Schizosaccharomyces pombe: one gene and its partners. The gene in region 1 interacts genetically with each later gene. Each region holds a gene or a part of one and is shown on either strand. Other genes may lie near its edges.

The links.
Region 2: mutations in hmt1 (region 1) and abc2 are lethal when combined (synthetic lethality), as found in Schizosaccharomyces pombe (one study listed by BioGRID).
Region 3: of hmt1 (region 1) and pcs2, extra expression of one rescues a mutant of the other (dosage rescue), as found in Schizosaccharomyces pombe (one study listed by BioGRID).

Annotation. Positions count from the first base shown.
Region 1 is NC_003421.2:1,913,404-1,920,285, forward strand, and holds hmt1 (vacuolar phytochelatin and glutathione S-conjugate ABC family transmembrane transporter Hmt1), read right to left. Parts: upstream 4,269-6,882; 5' UTR 4,140-4,268; coding exon 3,942-4,139; intron 3,820-3,941; coding exon 1,525-3,819; 3' UTR 1,353-1,524; downstream 1-1,352. Other genes in the region: mdn1 (midasin), read left to right, coding at 1-1,254; mug24 (rrm type RNA-binding protein), read left to right, coding at 5,879-6,882. UniProt on the Schizosaccharomyces pombe protein: Involved in metal tolerance. Probably involved in the transport of metal-bound phytochelatins. Compartmentalizes cadmium within vacuoles, thereby protecting cells from cadmium toxicity.
Region 2 is NC_003424.3:2,836,601-2,845,071, forward strand, and holds abc2 (vacuolar phytochelatin and glutathione S-conjugate ABC family transmembrane transporter Abc2), read right to left. Parts: upstream 5,189-8,471; 5' UTR 5,105-5,188; coding exon 668-5,104; 3' UTR 521-667; downstream 1-520. Other genes in the region: SPOM_SPAC3F10.12C (transcription factor), read right to left, coding at 5,717-6,322. UniProt on the Schizosaccharomyces pombe protein: Involved in vacuolar sequestration of glutathione S-conjugates. Together with abc4, required for accumulation of a red pigment (ade pigment) in the vacuole of a mutant affected in the adenine biosynthetic pathway.
Region 3 is NC_003424.3:1,947,144-1,953,004, reverse strand, and holds pcs2 (phytochelatin synthetase), read right to left. Parts: upstream 3,328-5,861; 5' UTR 3,250-3,327; coding exon 2,005-3,249; 3' UTR 1,497-2,004; downstream 1-1,496. Other genes in the region: vacuolar amino acid transmembrane transporter Avt3, read left to right, coding at 4,064-4,959, 5,024-5,210, 5,251-5,861.

The DNA of each region.
Region 1 (6,882 bases):
GAATCGCAAAGTCAAGCATTTGACGATTCTGAATTTATGCATGTTAAAGAGGATGAGGAAGAGGATTTGCAAGCTTTGGGAAATGCCGAAAAAGATCAAATTAAGAGTATTGATCGAGATGAGTCTGCTAATCAGAATCCAGACTCAATGAACAGTACAAACATTGCTGAAGATGAAGCTGATGAAGTTGGAGACAAACAATTACAAGATGGTCAGGATATTTCAGATATCAAGCAGACTGGTGAAGATACCCTTCCAACGGAATTTGGGTCTATCAACCAGTCTGAGAAGGTTTTTGAATTATCGGAGGATGAGGATATTGAAGATGAACTTCCTGATTATAATGTGAAGATTACTAACCTTCCTGCTGCAATGCCCATTGATGAAGCTCGTGATTTATGGAATAAACACGAGGACTCTACAAAGCAACTTTCTATTGAGTTATGTGAACAGCTTCGATTGATATTAGAACCAACCTTGGCCACTAAGATGCAAGGAGACTTTCGTACGGGTAAACGGTTGAATATGAAACGAATCATCCCATATATTGCTTCTCAGTTCAAGAAAGACAAGATATGGATGCGTCGTGTTAAACCTAGTAAAAGGACGTATCAAGTGATGATTTCCATTGATGATTCTAAGTCGATGAGTGAGTCGGGCAGCACAGTTCTAGCGTTAGAGACTTTAGCTTTGGTAACAAAAGCATTATCATTACTTGAAGTTGGACAAATTGCAGTGATGAAATTTGGGGAGCAACCTGAATTGTTGCATCCTTTCGACAAACAGTTTTCATCTGAAAGTGGTGTACAAATGTTTTCGCATTTTACATTTGAGCAAAGTAATACCAATGTTTTGGCTCTCGCCGATGCTTCTATGAAATGCTTTAACTATGCCAATACGGCTTCCCATCATAGATCTAACTCGGACATAAGGCAGTTAGAAATCATAATTTCAGACGGTATTTGTGAAGATCATGATAGCATTCGGAAACTGCTAAGGCGTGCTCAAGAAGAAAAAGTGATGATTGTGTTTGTTATTCTTGACAATGTTAACACCCAGAAAAAGTCGTCCATCCTTGATATTAAAAAGGTTTACTACGACACTAAAGAAGATGGTACTATGGATTTAAAAATTCAGCCATATATAGATGAGTTTGCTTTTGATTACTATTTGGTGGTTCGTAACATCGAAGAATTGCCGCAACTTTTGTCTTCTGCACTTCGTCAATGGTTTCAGCAGATGAGTAATACTTAAATTGTACAAAAGCTTTGCAGTTAAGACTTGCAGAAAAAAATAATCGGGTTAGGTTTTGGGATTATTTTTGGTACTTATACATACTACGATTTAATAAATTAATTAATAATAGAAATTCATTGGTATGGAATTTAGTGATAAAATTTTTAGTACCATAATGTTTCTGTGAAAGGAGCAGCATTACTCACAATCAAAGTTAGTGTATTTTAATTCTCCTTTTAAATTAGTCATAACTACCAAAATTAGTAAAGGCTTGTTATTATGCTTAGATTAATGAGTTTCAGCAGAAGTTTTTCCCATTGCTTGTTGAAACCACATTTTTTTGTAAGCTCCGCCGTCACGCTTTATTAACTCTTCGTGTGTGCCAGTCTCAACGATTCTACCATTCGAAATACAAAGAATTAAGTCTGCATTGGTGATGGTGGAGAGCCTGTGAGCGATTACTATAGCAGTTCGGCCAGATGCAAGTCTATTCAAGGCTGCCTGGATTTGTCGCTCAGTATTTGTGTCCAGAGCAGAAGTAGCTTCATCGAGAAGGATAATTGAAGGATCTTTTAAGATAGCTCTGGCAACTGCTACACGTTGTTTTTCACCACCGCTTAACTTTAAGCCTCTTTCTCCGACACGAGAATTATAACCATCTGGGAATTGTAATATACGATCGTGAATTTGAGCAGCCTTAGCAGCAGCATAAATCTCCTCATTGGTCGCAGAAGGTTTAGCATATTTAATATTGTAAAGAATAGTATCATTAAAAAGGGTACTATCTTGGGGAACTACACCTATTGAAGATCGAAGACTAGACAACGTAACATTTCGTATGTCTTGATCATCAATGGTTATGGATCCCGAGTTGACATCGAAGAATCGTAAAAGAATTCTCATAATTGTAGATTTCCCACCACCTGATTCTCCCACTAACGCAATAACTTTTCCTGGTTGTGCAACAAAATTGATATCTGATAAAACAGGTTTTCGTGGATCATATGCAAATGAAACATGAGAGAATATTACCTTACCTTGAGTGACTTTAAGATCTGGGGCATTTGGTTTCTCCACCACAGTAGGTTTCTCCTCAAAAATTTCAAGTAGTCTTTCTGTATCGATGATGCTATTTTGCAATGAACGATATAAAGTTCCGAAAAAATTAAGAGGCTGCTGTAGCTGAATCATGTATGTCAAAAGTATGACAAAATCACCGACAGTGTTAAAGCCGAATGTTACTCTATAAGCACTTAATAGACAAGCAATTGCCAAGCTGAATGTAAATATTCCACCTTGAACGATATTTAAAAAATTAAGGCTAAATAGTACCTTCCGCTCTTGCTTAAGATAAATATCCACAGCATGACCGTATCGTTCATTTTCAAAGTCATCTGCATCAAAATTTTTAACGGTTTCGAAATTCATAATCGCGTCATTTTGCACAGCATAACTCTCGCGCCAGCTATTAACCATCTTTCTTCTAGCCTCGGTACGCCAAGATGTAATTTTGACCGTAACGTAACAGTAACAAAGTGTCATAATTAACACAATAAGCGTAAAATAAATGTCAAACTTAATAAAAAAGTATACCATGGCTACTCCCAAATCCAACAAAACAGGCCCAATCTGAAACACAACTTGTTCTGCAAACGTATTCAACGAACTTCCTTTAGTTAAGGCGGTCAAAACCTCACCAGCACGTTTATTCAAATGAAAATCGTATGACAGGTTTAGAACATGTCTCAAAGCCTTAGTTGATATCGCTCTATAAGCATATTGAGAGACAGGAACCCATAAGAAAGATCGAAGAGAACCAATTACTCCCATATTTCCTTGCAAAAAACGATAGATAACGAATAGAATAACATCAGACCAAGGAATTTTCTCACTATGTTTTGTGAGCTTTTCAGTTAACACACCCAGTTGTCGGGGAGCAAGTATGTTAACAGCTCGCCCCAAAAAGAGTAAAACTATGCAAATGAAAATCTGAAACTGAAGTCGGTAATCTTTTGTCGGCCAGAGATAGGGAAGTAAAGTAGAGAAAGAACGGAAATATTCTGCCCAAGATTTATCACTAGGTTTTTTCGATGTTGATTTGAGTGTACCAAAATTCGAGGTTGATGCCGATACACCGAGCTGAACGGTCGAGGGATTTTGAGAGATAGCATTCTCATTAACGTTTGACTCTTCTGTTAATTGACGCTCCTCAAAATCCAGGGGATCGTGCGTATGTCTCTTTCGTCTATAAGTTAGATATATAGCTGTAGCGAAAACACATAAGACCAATCGGGCTACATGGTCCGCCAATACAATTCCTTGAAATGTTTCATTTGGATGAGGACTGTAGACAATGAAAATTGTTTCAAATACAATGTCTATAGCCCAAACGTACAAGACGCTAAGGCGGTAGGCCTTTAGTATGGAATCCGCATTTTTTGGAAGAGCTTTAGAATCTGCGCATGAGATAAGTACAATTATCCAAAATAAAAGGAAGAGAATTAAACAGACAACAGTGGTTTTACAGGGCCACCAATTTGGAACTCGCAATGCGTAGATGACAAGATTGCTGATATCAACGACCTAAAAATGAAATTAGCAATATGAAGCGAGGTTAAACAATTAAACATAAACATTTTTCTTTCAAAATATACTTATATATATATATATATATATTTTTTAAGAAAAATGCTTGAAATACGTACGTAGGTTAATGCAATTCCCAATATCCACCAGGAAATTATTCCTATAGGTTCTTTGCCGAAGCGATTTTTCCTACGATAAGGATCAGAAGTAGCTTTCCTTTTCTGCAGTAAGTTCAAGGACCCAATACTAAAAAATCCGACATATAGAAGGACCAGCTCAAGAATATTGAGGCGTGGGCTGTTGTAACGTAGAACCATTACAAAAAAATCAAAAAAGAAATGCCAGTTTGATTAATAAAACTTTAGGTAAAAGTAACTTGATAATTTTAAATTGTTACTGCTTCAATTGCTAATTTGGTTTGACTGAGGTTAAGTGGTGTAGAGGTTAAGAGTGACAATGGTGAGGTAAGAATACCTCCTATACGGTACCAAACTACCCCACTTACGGAGCCTTTCGAAAGCAGAAAATCAGTATGAATTTTGTATATTTTGTTTCAACTTTTTTTTTTGTTAAGAGTCTTAACCTCCTTACAAGATCGTAGCTTAAGGCATACATCCTTCATCGGCCACGATAGAGGAACAAATAATGTACTTACTTGTATTGAAAGCTTTACAAATTTCAACGGCATAGTAACAACTTGTAAAGGGTCTTCTTAAAATATAGATAAAAGGCGGCTGAACTTGATGTTGACTGGCAATGTTGGGTATACAAATCTAAAATTGATGAGCTTGAATGCAATAACCTAGTATCTGGAACCTTCGAAAAGTTTTAAAGAAACACGTAACAAATCCTTTTTATTTGAAGAGGCTTTCAAGCAAAAGTTACAATATTTAATTGCATAACACACCTTCAAACTCTGACTTTCGCTAACGGCCTAGAAATGATAAACTCATTAAAGACTTCTATTTTTTAAAATTAATATTTTTAATTAATGGTTGAAATATTCAGAAGAACTTCAAATTTAACTACTTTTAACTTACTGACATCGTTATTTTCTTTCCAAATTTTTTTATCAGATCAAGCCTCAACGTACATCATTGTGACAGAATACAGTCTACACCAATTTATGAATAAGCATTAAGTATAGCCCTAGCCGAACTTTTTTACTATCTAACGAAACGCATCACATTATATAATAGGCTTTATGAAGCTAAAACCTTATGAACCACAATGTCGATAACTTCAAAACAGCAACAATCATGCTAGAAGTGGACGGGCAATTTGAAGCATCTAACACAGTATACGTAATTCTTTAACAATATTTTTGAGTACTCTTCGTAAGGTTGATGGTATTGTTGCCTTGGATCAGTATTTGCATTGCTCGGTATAAGGGATATGGGGGATACCTATCTACTCTTAATTTTGCTCTGGCAGTTTAAAAGGCGGGGGAAGGCTGGCTAATCGTAAATCTTGCACCCAAAAAGTCTATTGGCTCTCGAGGTTTTTATTAAAGGTAATTTCAAGGCTTAGAAATGGCTGTCTACCAGCCCTTTATCATGACTGTACTATTCGCGAGGAATTGGTGGTAGTCACTGTGCAGTCATAATAAGAACCGAATAACTTAAAGGGACAACTATGATTGGACGTAAGTAATTTTAACTATTAAGCCTCGCTAAAATAAGTACATTACGTCGACTTTAGCGAAGAGTGGCAGCGGATTTACCGTCGCATTCGTCGTTTGTGGGCCATCCTGACGTTTTAGAGTTGCAACTTTGTGCCTTTTGATTCGTCCTTCTATTTAAGAAATGTGGGACAGCTTTGCGGGGAATGCTTGCGAAAATAGCAATGTTTACATTTGAAATGGTGCTTAGCTGTTACGAAAACTTGACACGATATGATTTTTTTTATCTATAAATAAGTGTCCCTCTCACCAGTTTTGACCATCGAATACAGCATTTAAATCGATACTAATTTTGAAGCGAAACTCATCAGTCTAAAGCACTCTATATTTTGAAGCATCCATATTCTCACTCAATTCTTTTTTTTTAACACTATAATGGCTATTATGCACAAAATTGGCTGTGCCGGAAGTGAAGTTGAGACCGACCGTGTTCTTGAAAAAGACCAAGCAAACAACGGTCACTTCGTTGATAGTGATTGCTGCTTTCAAGAGACAGGAAGTACTGGCACGGCCAACAGCATTTGCACTTTAAATGATTCAGAAGATGATAACAGTAGTCTTAATTCAGTGGACAATAATGAATGTACCAACCTTGACTGTGGTGGTAAAAAGCACAAAAATCTTTCACCTAATCCTTCTTTCCATGTAAACATCAATGCCGCAGAATTTATTCCGAAATCTCATAATGGGTATGCTCCTAAATCAATGAATCCCCCTCCCGAACAACTCGATTCTCCTTGTTATCCTCATTTTGACCAGGACTCTTCTTCAGTCATTTATCCTTCTCCACCTTCAACCTATTACCCCAACATGTATGTTTCAGCAAACACCTTCATACCGATGCCCTATGCCCACTATACCGACAATATGTATCATGCAAAACCTGTAAACCGTCCAAATTTCCTACCTCGAGAAGGTACTCCTCCTCCGTTTGCCCAACAACCTGCGGAGCAATTTTCACCATTCAATTCAGAATACGAATCCTTGTTAGATTTTCGTGCTTTAATCCTTGGTAACTTGCCAGTTGACTACAAAATTTCCGAATTACTTTCGCTTATCCACTCTGGACCATTAGAGAAGATTCAGTCCAACCCTGGAAAACGCAGGATTATAATTACATTTCTTGATTCTGCTGATGCCTTTTTCTTTTATGAAAGGTACCATCCTCGTGGATTCATTTTTCATGGTAGGCCACTCAAATTGACATTTGCTAGACCTTCTCCTTTACCTGAATCGATTCAAAATTTTTGCTCGAACACTGCGGCCAGCCGTAATGTGTTCATCGGCAATCTTCCTTCTTCTTATCACGAGAAGGAAATTGAAGAAGCGTTTGGTAAATTCGGCAAGATTGAGCACATAAAAATCCTCTCGAAAAAGAA
Region 2 (8,471 bases), on another chromosome or scaffold:
AATCGTGTTTGTATCCTTTGAGAAAAGGACATCAAAAGGAATTCGCGATTTTCTCTTAAACTTTAATACAGTGCTTATCATTGATTTTAACTACATAATAATAGAGTTTCATTTCATTCTATAATGAGATAACTATAGTAGGTTACGAAAAAAAAAGTAGCCAAATTAAATCTGATGAAGTGAATATTGGCATAAAAAGAAGGAAAAAATCGGTAACAACTCTTCCTAACTTTTTTTTCTAAAATCAACGGATAAATGATATCAAAGCGGCAAAACGTTAGGCTCCAATATAAATGTCAAAAGGTGTAAGAAACAAAAAAGAAAGATTTTTTTAGGAAACTTTGCAGAACTTATATATCCTTTGAAAAGAAAAAATCTTCAATCATATATAGTTAATAAATCTTCCTTTTCAACAAAAGGTTATCTTGTAAGTGAGCAGCGTGCATGCTTTTTTCGAAACAGAGATATGCTGAATACAAGGGAAGAAAAAATATAACATGATTCGGATAAATTGTCTTTTAGCAAGTTGAGAAAAAATAGTATATAAATTACCAAGAAACCAGTAACTTGTAAATCTAACAAAATGAGAATTTGCTTAGGAATAACAGTTTCGGGATTTTCATAAAATTAATTAGAAGCATTTTAAATTAGCAAACGACCTGTGAACTCAAATAAGTCCACTCTCTTTTGCGAGGGAATAAAACAAAGATGCTTTATTTTCCAGCAGCTTTTTCGTTGAATCAAATTCGACTACCTTACCATGATCCAATACTAATATACGATTCGAATCCATCACAGTATTAATACGGTGAGCAATGGTCAAAATGGTACGATCGTTAAAGCGTTCACGAATTGTGCGTTGCACAATAGCATCTGTTTCAACATCAACAGCTGCAGTAGCTTCATCTAATAATAATACGCGTGTGGGTGTCAATAATGCCCTTGTCAAGCACATCAGCTGGCGTTGGCCTGACGAAAGATTGGCTCCTCCTTCTGTAACACGGGAATACAACCCGCCGTCAAGAGTCTGGATGAATTGTTTTAAGGAAGCAGCTTCGAGAGCATGCCAAATCTCTTCATCGGTAGCATTAGCATTAGGATCGAGATTCTCACGAATTGTACCTTCGAAAGCTTGATTTTCTTGTGGGATAATAGCAAGTCTGGAGCGTAAATCGTGTAATCCAATCGAAGTAATATTGATATCATCCAATTGTATGTCTCCTGATGTTGGCTCAATTAATCTAAACAATGCAAGCGTCAAAGTCGACTTTCCTGCTCCTGTACGACCGACAATACCAATCTTTTCTTGTGGTTTAATGTTAACACTTATATCGTTTAGGACTAGTGGAAGATTTTCACGATATCTGACACTGTAGTGATCAAATTTAATTGCACCATGGGAAGGCCATCCTTCTGGAGGACGATGATCTGGAATAATGGAGGGTGCCTCACTTGGAAGACCAATGTATTCCAGCATTCGTTCGACTGAAACAATGTTTGTTTCTACATCAACAGACTGTCTTACGACAAAGGTTAAACTTTGGGTAATCTGTACGGCATAAGACAACGAAAGACCCACTAAACCAGAATTAGGATTTCCACGGACTGCGGAGAGAACTCCAAAAAATGCAGATGAAAATACCACCAAAGCGCCTATTGCTTCAACACGAATTGCCTGCCATCTATTTGAACTGAAGTACAAGAACCAAATTCGGTGATTGGTATCAACACGAATATCGTTCTCCGAGATAAATGTATCTTCCATGTCATAAGCACGAATAGTTGACAACCCACCCAAAGACTCTTGGAAATGAGCATATAAAGGACTGCGAGTAACGCTATCAAGCCTTTTTAGCTCTCGAGAAGTTTGAGTATAATAAACTTGATTGTAACGATACAGAAAGAATAATGGAACAATTAGGATCATAAACATAGGAGAAGAATAGCAAATAACTGCTAGTACGAAAACTATTTGAAAGAGATTTCTGAAGAAAAACATAAAAACTCTAGAAATAACTTCGTCCACACGGTAAACATCGCTGGAAAATCGGTTTAATATTCGACCAGTTGGCGTGGTTTCAAAAAAGCTCATGGGAGCACGCAAAACCGCCTTTACCATTGAATCATGTAGATAACGACAGCTTTTAATAGCACAAAACACGGTAATGGTTAAGCTGCTAAGAGAAATCAATGCACAAGAAAGAAGACCAAACAATGTGTATATACCCAAGTAAAAGTATGGTTTAGGATTATAACCTAATTGTGTATTTACCTCACTCCAATGTTTAAGCCAAACATTAGTACCAACATTCATACCAATACCACCAATAATGAAAAGGAAATACAAGAAGATTAAAAACAAAGAGCACGCTTTAAAGTACGTCCAGTATACTTTCCACTTTACCTTACCACGTTCCATTTTCTCAGCAGCTTGTCCAGTAGCTTTGACATTGTCCTCGTCGGTTAACCTTTTACGGATCCTACCTGTTCCTTTTATGGTGGCCTTTGGATAATTGCTAACTGTGTCAGAAGAACGGCTAGCTGAACTCGTGACATCGGTAGAAGAAGTAATTACAGATTGAGAACGGGAGAGAGGAGTATCGGCTCCAGTAGATGATGCGGTATCCTTCTTGCTAAATTCCGAAAGTAATTGAAACAATTGGGAGTCTGGCGAAGAAGATAATTGAGTGAAGCTTCCACTCTCTATTATTTTACCATTTCTTAACATATAAATCATGCTGGCTTCTTTTAAAACGGTTAAGGAGTTAGTTGAAAGAATAACGCATCGTGATCTGAGTAAACCTTTTGAACCTAAAAGATTCCTAACTAAATCTCTATTAACATGCTGGTCAACAGCAGATAAAATGTCATCAAGAAGATAAATATCTGAGCGAGAATAAACAGCACGAGCAAGAGAAATACGTGCCTTCTGACCTCCAGATAAAGATATACCTTTCTCGCCAACTTCCGTTTGATCTCCATCAGCAAGTATCTCAAAATCACGCAACAAACAACAAGCACGAATGGTTTTTTCATAAAACTCAGGATCCAGTTCAAGGCCAAAGAGGATATTCTCCTGAATAGTAGCATTCAAAATCCAGGGTTGCTGAGCTGCATACGCGATGGAACCACAGCGGAACACGGAGCCAGAATGCTTCTGCATGTTGCCCAAACAAGCTTCAAGCAAAGATGATTTACCCATTCCAACTTTACCAACTATGCAACATAGCTCACCCCTTCTAGCCACAAAATCAATATCACGTAAAGTAGGTTCTGCGGCATTTTGTCCAGGACCGGACCAACTAAATGTACCCTTTTTAATTTCTAAACAAACTCCGGATGGTTCTTTGTTAGCTGGGTAGCGTTGAACAGCGTTGGAGTCCAATTCACCTGCAGTGAGAAACCCATAGATACGAGAAATAGCAACAGATGCCTCTAAAACTGAACTGACAACAATAGGCAACATGGTTAACGGAAATTGTAACAAATTGAAAAGACTCAAACAAGCAAAGACTATATCAACTGAAAGCACACGTGTCTTTCCATACAGAACAATGAAAGTACCAAACGTTGCGGCTGATACAAGAATAGGAGCAAAAAGCCAGGTAAAGTTGCCAATAGTGTTGACAATTCCAATCTTTTTCAACATGCGCAATTCTCTGGTATTCCTTAACTGCAGCAATTTTTGAAGGAATATGTTTTCCCAAGCATACAACTTAATGCTGCGAATATTGTTAATAATTTCAGTCATAAACTGAGAACGTGCGTCTTTATTTTTCATTTGTCTATTTTGAAACCTTTTAAAGATACTTGCAATCACAACATTACAAGGAAATAGTAAGAATGTCACAAAAGCCCCAGAGAGCGCACCGTATCCTACAAGATGGTACAAATTTGTGAGAGCTAGTACAATTTGGAAAGGACCCGATACAATAACAAACAAAAACATAGTTAAATCACAAACTTTTTGAGTGTCGACAGACATGTAATTTACGATATCTCCAACAGATCGACTTTGACGAGCCGCACTTGAGAGACGTAAGGATTTGCGATAGATAGCAGTAATCAATTCGGACCTCCATCTCATGCCAAGTACCATGCCAAGTTGGAAATATTGTTGTAACAATGCGGTTTGTACGACGTTGGTTAAAAACATAGCGATTGCAAGACTGAAACCTACTTGAGGAGGTTGTGGATGCTCAGAAGAATAGGAGCTAACAAAAATAACAATCTTCCTAATTAAATTTGGCTGAATAAACGCTACAACGTCTTGCACCAACTTCAAAACGATAATAACAACGGTAAGCTTCCAATGGTTTAAAAACAAAACACCCCACATGTAAAGACTACTTTTTTTCTTTTTTGCATGGGAAATCCAATTCTTTTCAAAAACAATAGTCAGATTGCTGGAACGTTCGGCAGGAGGAAGAGACCAAGCATCTGATTCAGTAAGATAATTTCTGTAACCAAACTTCATAAGAGGGCTAAGCCAACCAAATGATATCCTTGAAAAAATGTTGGCATAGGTAAACCGAGATGGTCTTAATCCAGTCTCTTCCAACTCAGCTGCATCATCGGGATACCAAACTCGGTTGGCAGGAGGCACGTAGATTTCAGCTAGAAGGCATACCAATGAGCAAAAAAAAGTAATGGAGGGAACTACGTTAAGCATAGGGAACATTGTATAATTAGGACGAAGTAATAAAACCAGAGCCGAGGCTAAAAACTTAAAAAGCCAAAACATCAACAAAGAGGCCATAGGTATTCGCAACGTAGGCTGCTCCACAACATGCAAAAACAAAGCAAGAAAATAAGTTATAATGCTTAATACATTCCATACACTTTCATTCGTTTTATAACAGTCATAAATATGGGTGAAAAGGAGAACCATAATAACTAAAGACTTCAGCCATATTGTCCAAAATCTTCGAAAATGAAAATAATGAGACCTTTTTCTAACCTCATAGAAGTACTGCAGACATCCACTGATAAGAAGGTAAATGTTTGGAGCAAGCCAAGTTGCCGATAGAAATGTGAATCCTTTGTAAGCAGAATTCATCCAATTTCCACCTACAAAAGGATCTAAATCCTGTTCAAGAACCATTTTGATAATACAGTATTAAACTGATTCAAATTCCCTGAAACAGTTATTTCCTGCGAATGTAACAAAACCTGAAGAGTGTTGGCTGAAGATAAGTGGCTTACAAAGTATAAATTTGTGGTGGTATGAATGAACATGTTCGTAATACATTTCGATTCAGTAACTAACAACAAAATATTACTAAATTTTTATGAGCAACTAGATATATTAATGGAATCCCTTAATATATTTTAATCTATCTAATGAGTTTATAATTTCATCGTTGAATTGACTAACCTTTCACAAAACGAATCTACATATTAAATATGGTTTTGACAGTTATGATTTTTAATCTAATGATATTCACTGTAAACAAATGTTTCTTAAACCTTTAAAAACAAGTTTTACAGTCATGGTAACTTCAAAGCAATTTCTAATCAGATTAAATTCAGATTCTAAATTACTATGCAATGTAAGTTGAAAATAAAATATGTATATAAGTTAAAAGTATTGTAAACCATATAGTTAGACTATAAACGTGGACCTCAAGGGAAAGTAGGATCAAAGTAAATGGAAATATATAAAAAAATGCAAAAAATGATAGGGAAATAATTGCATTAGAAAAGGAGAGTTATTTTACGATTCACTATTCTCTTCTACATCAAGTTCTGAATCAAAACTCCTAGCAGCTTGCTTCCAAAGCTCAACACTGCGCCATGCACGTTCGCATTCCGATTTTAACCGTGCGTTCTCCCTAGCTAGTTCTTGAATAGTATGATCAGCAACAAGTTTCTCCAAATTTGATTTTTCACGACACATTTCCTCCATTTCTTTAAGGGATCGAATATATTGAGCAGTCCTTTGAAGGATACTACCTTTATTTTTCTCACATCCAGGAACGATGTTCGCCAACTCTTTAATTCCCTCACTTATGGCTTCTCTTCTTCTACGCTCTACTTCTTTGTGACTTAATCTTTTAGCTTTATACCATTCCTCGCTTCCAACACATGGTTTTTCCATAGTCGTATTACCACTAGAAGCTACCGTTGAAGTCGTGGAATTTTTATGGGCTGTATTTTTCTTGGGAAAATCAATCTTTTCAGAGGGATAAGGATTATAACTAACGGCATGAGCATAAAAATCGTTATAAACTATGTCATTAGTAAAACCTGTGAGTTGTTCGACTTGTCCTGGTCCTGATAAAGGAGGAAGCAGATGATTTATGGACATATCTCTTTGCATTTTCTAGCCGAATTTATTATCTCATAAAACAAAGAAAATTTCTATAATAGAAATGAATTTTTTACAAGCATGAAGATAATGTAATGATTGAAGTGTTACCGCTGATGAATCCAGCCAATGTATTTGAACACTTTCGTAGTAAACCAGCAATGTAATGATAAGGGAGAATGAACAGTCTAGTAAAGAGATGAAAACACAAGGTAGTTTATGAGTACATATAGTAGCTTGACAAGAGTATCTTGATAAATGGGATTCTAAGGATAAATAGATAAAAGGTTTCTGAAGACTGGAAGTTTAAAAAAATTCCAAAACGTTAGATATGTAAAACAGGAATAAAAAAAATAAATATAGAATAAACGATGATTGTGCTTAAAGGCTGTCCAAAATTAAAGCGTTGATTTTCGCATCAACTCAAATTAAAAAAATTAAAACGAACTGCTATCAGTCGCAAAGGGTGAAACAGGTGTTCAATTAGTTCAAAGAACTTTTTCCTGTTCTTTCTAATGGAATGTTTAAAAATAATGTTGCAAAATGATAGTGGTAATCAAAGGCACTTCACGGATCCCTAACATTGACAAGCGTGATAAAATATTGCACTCTTAATTACCAAACTTAAAAGAAGAGTAGCAAATGTATTTTAAAAAGCACTTAAATGTTCAAATAGCTCAAAAAAGCAATTCACATCAAACTTTTAACATGAAGCGAGGTTCATTGTTGATAAAACACGTCTGTAAACCGCGTTGATATTACTAAGTAGAATCACTTAAGGAAGGGCTACGCTGCCCTCGTTTAATTAAAAACAACGCATTTACCAAACCTACTTTATTTTTATTTAGTGTCAGCTACGCAGTTTGATATCTATTTAACGATATGCAAAACTGCGTTGAGTTTTCCTTCTGACTACTATATTGCAACACACAGGTAATATTTGTAGCATCTGAGTTAGGTATTCTATTATGTAGGTTATATTTGTTATCTATCACTAATGTAATTTATAACTGAACCTCGTTTCTCATTTCATCTATGTCCCTTTATAGTATTCAGATAATATAGAACTTTAGATTATCACTAAGATCAGCCTCAATATAGTACCATTTATGGTACTATATATAATTAGTACGTGTGATATACAGTGATACACAACGTATAACATAATGTAGTGTAGTAATTTTACTACATTACATTTAAATGCGATGAGTTTTATTGTAACTATAAAGCCGTATGCATGAAGTATGAGAAGTACAGATGTAATAAATAATGTTGTAGAAAGAGAAATGTTAACTAATCGTTGCTTACTTAGCTTAATTTGTCGTACCAGCTCCATTCTATGATTTAATATTGCTTGTCATATGTTTGTTGCAAACGGCATATGAATATCCTAAAATCTAATAACTGTTAGCAATAGCAGACTACACTGTACTGCATCACTACATCGCACGTTATAAATTTACCTATTCACTGTAACTAAGAGATGATGTTGATAATGGATTTGCGAGCCGAAAGATAACTAATTACAAATTATAAAAGGTACCCAATTGGTTTCCCTTCTTCCTTTCAGATATTTCAATCATAATTTATAATAGCATATTCCTTTGGATGAACTACAATTGAACTGTTCATACTACCTTACATAACGAAAATAGAAGATCGCAAGAAACTTAACGGTGTTCTAACGGAAAGATAAACTAGGTTACGAAAGTGAACACTTCATAACTTAGTACGAAGTGTAAAATAAGTCGATAAAAAAGCATTGCTCCAGCAGTGACTCGAACACTGGGCCTCTTGCTTACTAGGCAAGCGCTCTACCACTGAGCTACAAGAGCTATTGTTAAGTCGATTCTTTTAGTTTAACTTGTTACAACTAAACGTCCTAAAATGATAAGTTATTAAAGGAAAGATGTGTTAAAACGAACAGTCAAAAATAGTAAAAAGCGGCAAACAGTAGGTAACCAAATTTTTAAAAAACCAATTCTCTGTATTAGCAAAGGAATATATTATCAAAACGTATTACATATTTAGCAAAGCAACCGTTTTATTTTCCTGATGCAACACAAAACAATTTACTAAATTTAATATGACTATACGTTATATTTTTTTGCGTGTAGAAGTTTCAATACCATTATTGCAATCATACATGAATGAAGCGAAT
Region 3 (5,861 bases), on another chromosome or scaffold:
TGGAATCATATTCCGTGATTTGCTTATCGTTGTTCCGTAGCTATTACTCCTGCATCTGCTGCTTGTTGACAACTTCCGCTTTGTAGTGGGATATTGCCTGCTTGGACTGTCATACTCTAATACTTTGTCTCTACTCATCGTTAAAATGTTTGTAGCAACCTAAATTGTCGTCACATTTGCATTTACCACAATCTGTCAGCTTTTTGCCGCTCTGAGTATTTTTTCCTTGCTCTTGTTACTTTGGCTGCTCGCGCGTTCGATAAGCTCTTCGGCGAAGTGAGAGTCAATTTAACATGGTTCCCCAGTCTATAACATCTGGAAGCAAAAATGGCTCATATAGTTGGCATCGCCACTACTGACTGTTCGAACGGCTTCCCCACTAAGCATGGCTTTCTAACTTTTATCTTAACAGACCAAGGCAGTCTGCTAATAGCGAGACTTGCTGATATCGCCAACAGAGCCTTCGCAGTGGTCCTTGGGGGAAGGGTAATTGATTTTCAGAGAGGTAAAATTAACAGCGTTCTATAATGTAACATATTTCGCTATGGTATTTTTTTTTATAACTTTATTTTGGTTGATGTGACAAGGATTTAAACATTGACAAAAAAACAGTCGTGCAAGTGGGTGAATGTAAACTACAAGGAGTGGCACAAACTAATCAGATAAGTCGCAAACTAACTGGTGCGCAAAATATGTACGTACATATACACATACACTTGTAAATACATATACTAATAATGGATCTCTTGAATCTAACCAAGTCGTAATACAATCTTTTAACTCCTTACCTTGTAATGTTGCGTTTCTCGGATTCTTTGTGATTTTCGTTTCTGAACATTTAATTTAATTTAATTTAGTATGATTTATTTTTATTTTTTTTCTGTGAGTTTTTCAATCCTCGTTTCTGCACAATTACGAAAAACAATATTTGAATTATTAAATTGAAAGCGTTGCATTGTCATACTGCTACATATTACTCAAAACACAACCATGACCAACGTATCAGTATTTCTAATGCGTTCAAATTCATGCGTATGGATGAATTTTGGAAGGAATAAGTAGCACTGCTTCAAAGTTGTTTTTCCATATAGGTAACCAGCTAATTTGACGCATCATTCGGGTTGTTTCGTGTTTGTCTTTAAAAACAATCTCCCATCTTTTTTAAGGGGCTATGTGGGGGAGAGAGCATAGGGGTTGCGAGTACTAGTTCTGCTACCCTCAGTTTACTCGAAATCGCTGTATCAACATGAGTGGGGGTTGTCCTAACATTTCCTAGCTGCATCCAATATTCATAAAGTCCCTTGTGGGGGCCATATAAAGGAAAGGCTATCCCCTTATTTGTTAAGAGCAGTGGGTATGTACATCGATTTGATAATAAATTTTAAGTTATGCTTTTGTTTTTCTCGATTTAAAATAAAAAATCTTTGGGTCTTTATTTTAGCAGTTATTGGTTAAACTAACTTCCGTATTCACTGCATGCACATGCTAGTTACTCAATGCTGGGTTGTAATTAATCAACGACAATGGTGCATATACAAACACAAATAAACCGCTCTAATTATTAATTTCTAATGCAACCGGATCACTCTCTTTCATAGTTACTCGCTGTTTTCAGAGAAGAATTTTGTTCATTTGTCTTCCTTGCTTGTTTAAAGTTGTTAAAAGTACGCATCGTTTTTGTTTTGTAATCTGTTTGATTCGGAATAATTGATTTTTTCAACCATTGTTCCTGAAATAAAATAAAATTACTAGCCTTAGAAAACCATTACACTTCAATTAGAATGGACAGAAAAACAACACCACACAAAAAAAAAGAAATGATTGGATTATAAACGAAAGCACGAGCGTAATACTTTTCTCTAGAATTGACCTTAATATAAAATAAATGCGTAACAATAACAACAACAAAAATAATAATAATAATTGTAAAAAATTTGTTCATGGCTCTATGTAAACTTTTTGAGTTCATAAGCAACGAGAAGAAATATCCATCTCTACCAGTATTCACGTATTTTTACAGCAGCTTGAACTACAACACCCAGTGTCAGTTTTACAACAATGGGTTAAACTATCAAGCTGTTTTTTCAACGCAGTTAGTTGAGTGTTAATTTCGGAAATTTCAACTTCTTTCAATAAAGATTGAATCTCTTCTAGAACGCCTTTGGGAAGCGCTTTTTGGATCATGGGTAAGGAAAATATAGCCCAAAAAGCCATAGTGATATATTCAACATTGGTATTCGTATGTTTCAGAAATAAATGATATGTTTTTGTGCTTCTAATACATTCTTTAAAATGCTCGAAATCACCAGACTTTGAACTGTTGGAGCGTTCTTGGATTAGAGGAATTGATGATTGATTAATGGATAAAAGTATTTCAGCCAAATTGTCTGCGTTTTTTACCGTTGCCGCCTGCTGCAGTATATGCTTGGAAACGTTTCGCCAGCTGTACTTGTTTAAACCGACTGTAAGCACACCTAAAGGAATATGCATTGGCTCTAAAAGTACATAGCCTCTAGGTTGGCCGCTAGCTTTATCGATAGGAAACATACTCTCGTACATGAGCTTCAAATCCACCCAGTAGCAAGGATATTTAAATCGAGCAACGTCCAATATTAATATCTTGTTATCACTTTCACTGAAGCCTCCAACTGGACTAAAATGTCCATCGCCTGTTTGACCGAGCACTTTCCGGCAAAATGAAATTGCCATAATTTTATTCTCAATGGTAGAACAAGAGATTACGTCTTTCCGAAATTCATCAAAGCTAACATCTTTGACACATTTCGTAATAGTCCGAAGGCCATTGCAGTTAGCTAAACAAGAGAACTCTTCTAGCGTAACACCATCTTTTTCAATATCGCTTAGCGATCGACAACAATCAAGCATATACTGATCATACCAGCGCCAAGATCCCTTCCATAATCTACCCGGGTCAACTTTAAGCGAATTAAGAATCATGCAGAGAGTTCCCAATCCACAAAAAGCTGGTTCGTTTTGGGTTACCATCTGCTGTGCAAGCGAAAAATAATTTTCCATCCGTCCCTCTTGCAATGCTCGTAAAAAAACATCTTTACCGAGAGATGAATCAAAAGCTAAACATTGTTTAGGCAATTGTCTTTTGTAAAAAGATTTTTTGAGTTGTCCGACAGCTTCAAAGCTTACTACCTTGTTTTTAATCAAACCGATATTTGGTGTTGCATTGGTCATTCCTCTCAGTAATTCTGGGACTGCTCGTTTAACAATGTTCATACAAAATAACCCTTTGCTTTTTTTAAAAGAGTGATTTTCAAAAAAGACTGTGTTACCAAATTTGTTTTGTTGAAAGTTAAGTAGACTGCAAGCAAAAAAGGTGGTACTTAGAAGTACGAACTAATCCATTTTGCCTTAACCGATAACCGAATATCAAGTAATTTAATTCCTTGTGCCTTTAAACAAGCAGTATGTATCTTTTTTCGTTTAGTTTATTTTACATTAGAATATTAGATGTAAAGTTACTATTTTCATTTTTAGTCGTTAATGAAGGACATTGAATGAACACAATAGGGAAATGAGATGTAAAAGCAAAAGCAACTTTAAAATGATCAAATTGAAAAACACATCTATTTAACTAAGATGAATATACTGCAAGTGAGCTAAAAGAGATGAAATTAAGTCTGTTGTATATTAAATAAAGGAGAAAGAAATGGAAGTATATATCCCCACTCACATATCTTGACTTACACATATCTTATATATAAGTTATCAAAATAAGAAGTTGTATTTAAGTTCCTCCATTACCAACAATCAGTCCGGGCTGGATATTTCTACAATTTACCTGTGACTTATTGCTCAAAGTAACATCGTCAGAAGACTGTCAGCATAATGAAAAGTGGGTTCTACCCAGCACAGATACTTTGGGTCTTACATATTTTTTTTTTGTAGTTTCCTTCTTGATATCGTTAGCTAACTTTTCATTGTTTTTCTTATTATTATTGGAAAATTTCATTTTTACGTTACATATTATTTGCAGTACTTACACTGATTTCTTGAAAAGTTCTTATGCTAGCTGCTTTCCTCAATTAGAATGAGTAATAGTCAGTCTATAAAAATAAAGAAACCTCGTTCTAACGAGAATTTCGCTTCTGGTTCCTACTCTAGTCGTCGCTCTCAGCAAATTCATCGATTGTCCCATTCCCCCATGGCTGAAGGATTCCACAAGCCTAAATTAAATATTTCCCCTTCTGAGTCAAATTTGCCAAACAATGTTGCTGAGAACACGACAGATACACCTGTAAACTACGGATCTATCAGAGACGAAAATCACAACTCTAGGAAAGGAAAAGATGTAACTCTAAATTCAGATGAAGCTCATTCCGAGAATGTTCCCAGTACATCTGAAGACCCCGATGTTGTTCGCCGTCATTTAGGTGGACAAGCCGCAGATGATGATAATTTTTCTTCTCTTCAGCTTCAAGGCGGTGATATGCACCGCCAGGTGTATCGTTGGCAACAGGAAGTAGATCAAAATAAGCAGATTCGTCGTGGTCGTTCTCGCTCGTTTAGTGCAAAGGTTTCTGACCCCAATCTTCATTTGCGAAGTGTTCAGGATATGAAACAAGCTGGTGGAATGAGACGTGATTTTCTTCGTAATCGTGCCAGTAGCATTTCGATGAGCAGTAATGCTCATGGTAATCCCAATTTTTTAAATCGCAACTTTATTGAGTTCCTCTCTGTTTACGGTCACTTTGCAGGTGAAGAACTTAGCGAAGAAGATGAAGATGAGGATACAGACGACTTTGCTATGCCTCGAGACGTTAATCCTTCTTTGATTCATTCTACTGTTCCCTCTGAGCAAGAACCTTTGATTTCTCGTCATGGACGTTACAAACTACAGACGCCTGGAAATGCTTCAAACGGAAAAGCTGTACTTCTACTTTTAAAGTCATTTGTTGGTACCGGTGTACTCTTTCTTCCCAAAGCGTAAGTTTTATGGAATTAACGTTTTTTTATTTTATTATTTCCTAGAATATTAACCGATGTCTAGCTTTAAATTAGGTGGATTGGTATTTTCAAGTGCGACCCTTCTTATTGTGGGAGTATTGTCTCATATTTGCTTCTTACTTCTCATTCAGACTCGAATGAAGGTACCTGGAAGTTTTGGTGATATTGGGGGAACTTTATATGGTCCTCATATGCGATTTGCTATTCTTGCTTCTATCGTGGTTTCACAGGTAAGTTTTTAAATTTAAATATTTTACTAAATGCATTAAGATTGGATTTTCGAGTGCTTATATTTCGTTTGTTGCTAGCACATTACAAGCATGTGTAAAAGTTATATCCACTACTCACCGAGAATACCATTTAGCTGTTTTCATTTTTATTCAGTTTTTGGTATTTGTCCCTCTATCGCTCGTTCGCAAGATATCAAAACTTTCTGCTACTGCTTTAATTGCTGATGTTTTTATTTTGCTAGGGATATTATATTTGTATTTCTGGGACGTGATTACGCTAGCCACTAAAGGAATAGCCGATGTTGCAATGTTTAACAAAACTGATTTTAGTTTATTTATTGGTGTTGCCATTTTTACTTACGAAGGAATTTGTTTGATATTGCCTATCCAAGAACAGATGGCTAAACCAAAGAATTTACCTAAGCTCCTCACAGGTGTGATGGCAGCGATCTCTCTCTTGTTTATTTCTATTGGGTTGCTGTCTTACGCTGCTTTTGGTTCAAAGGTCAAAACGGTGGTTATTTTGAATATGCCAGAGAGTACTTTCACCGTTATTATCCAATTCTTGTATGCTATTGCAATTTTGCTTAGTACCCCATTGCAATTGTTTCCTGCAATTGCTATCATTGAACAGGGAATTTTCACTAGAAG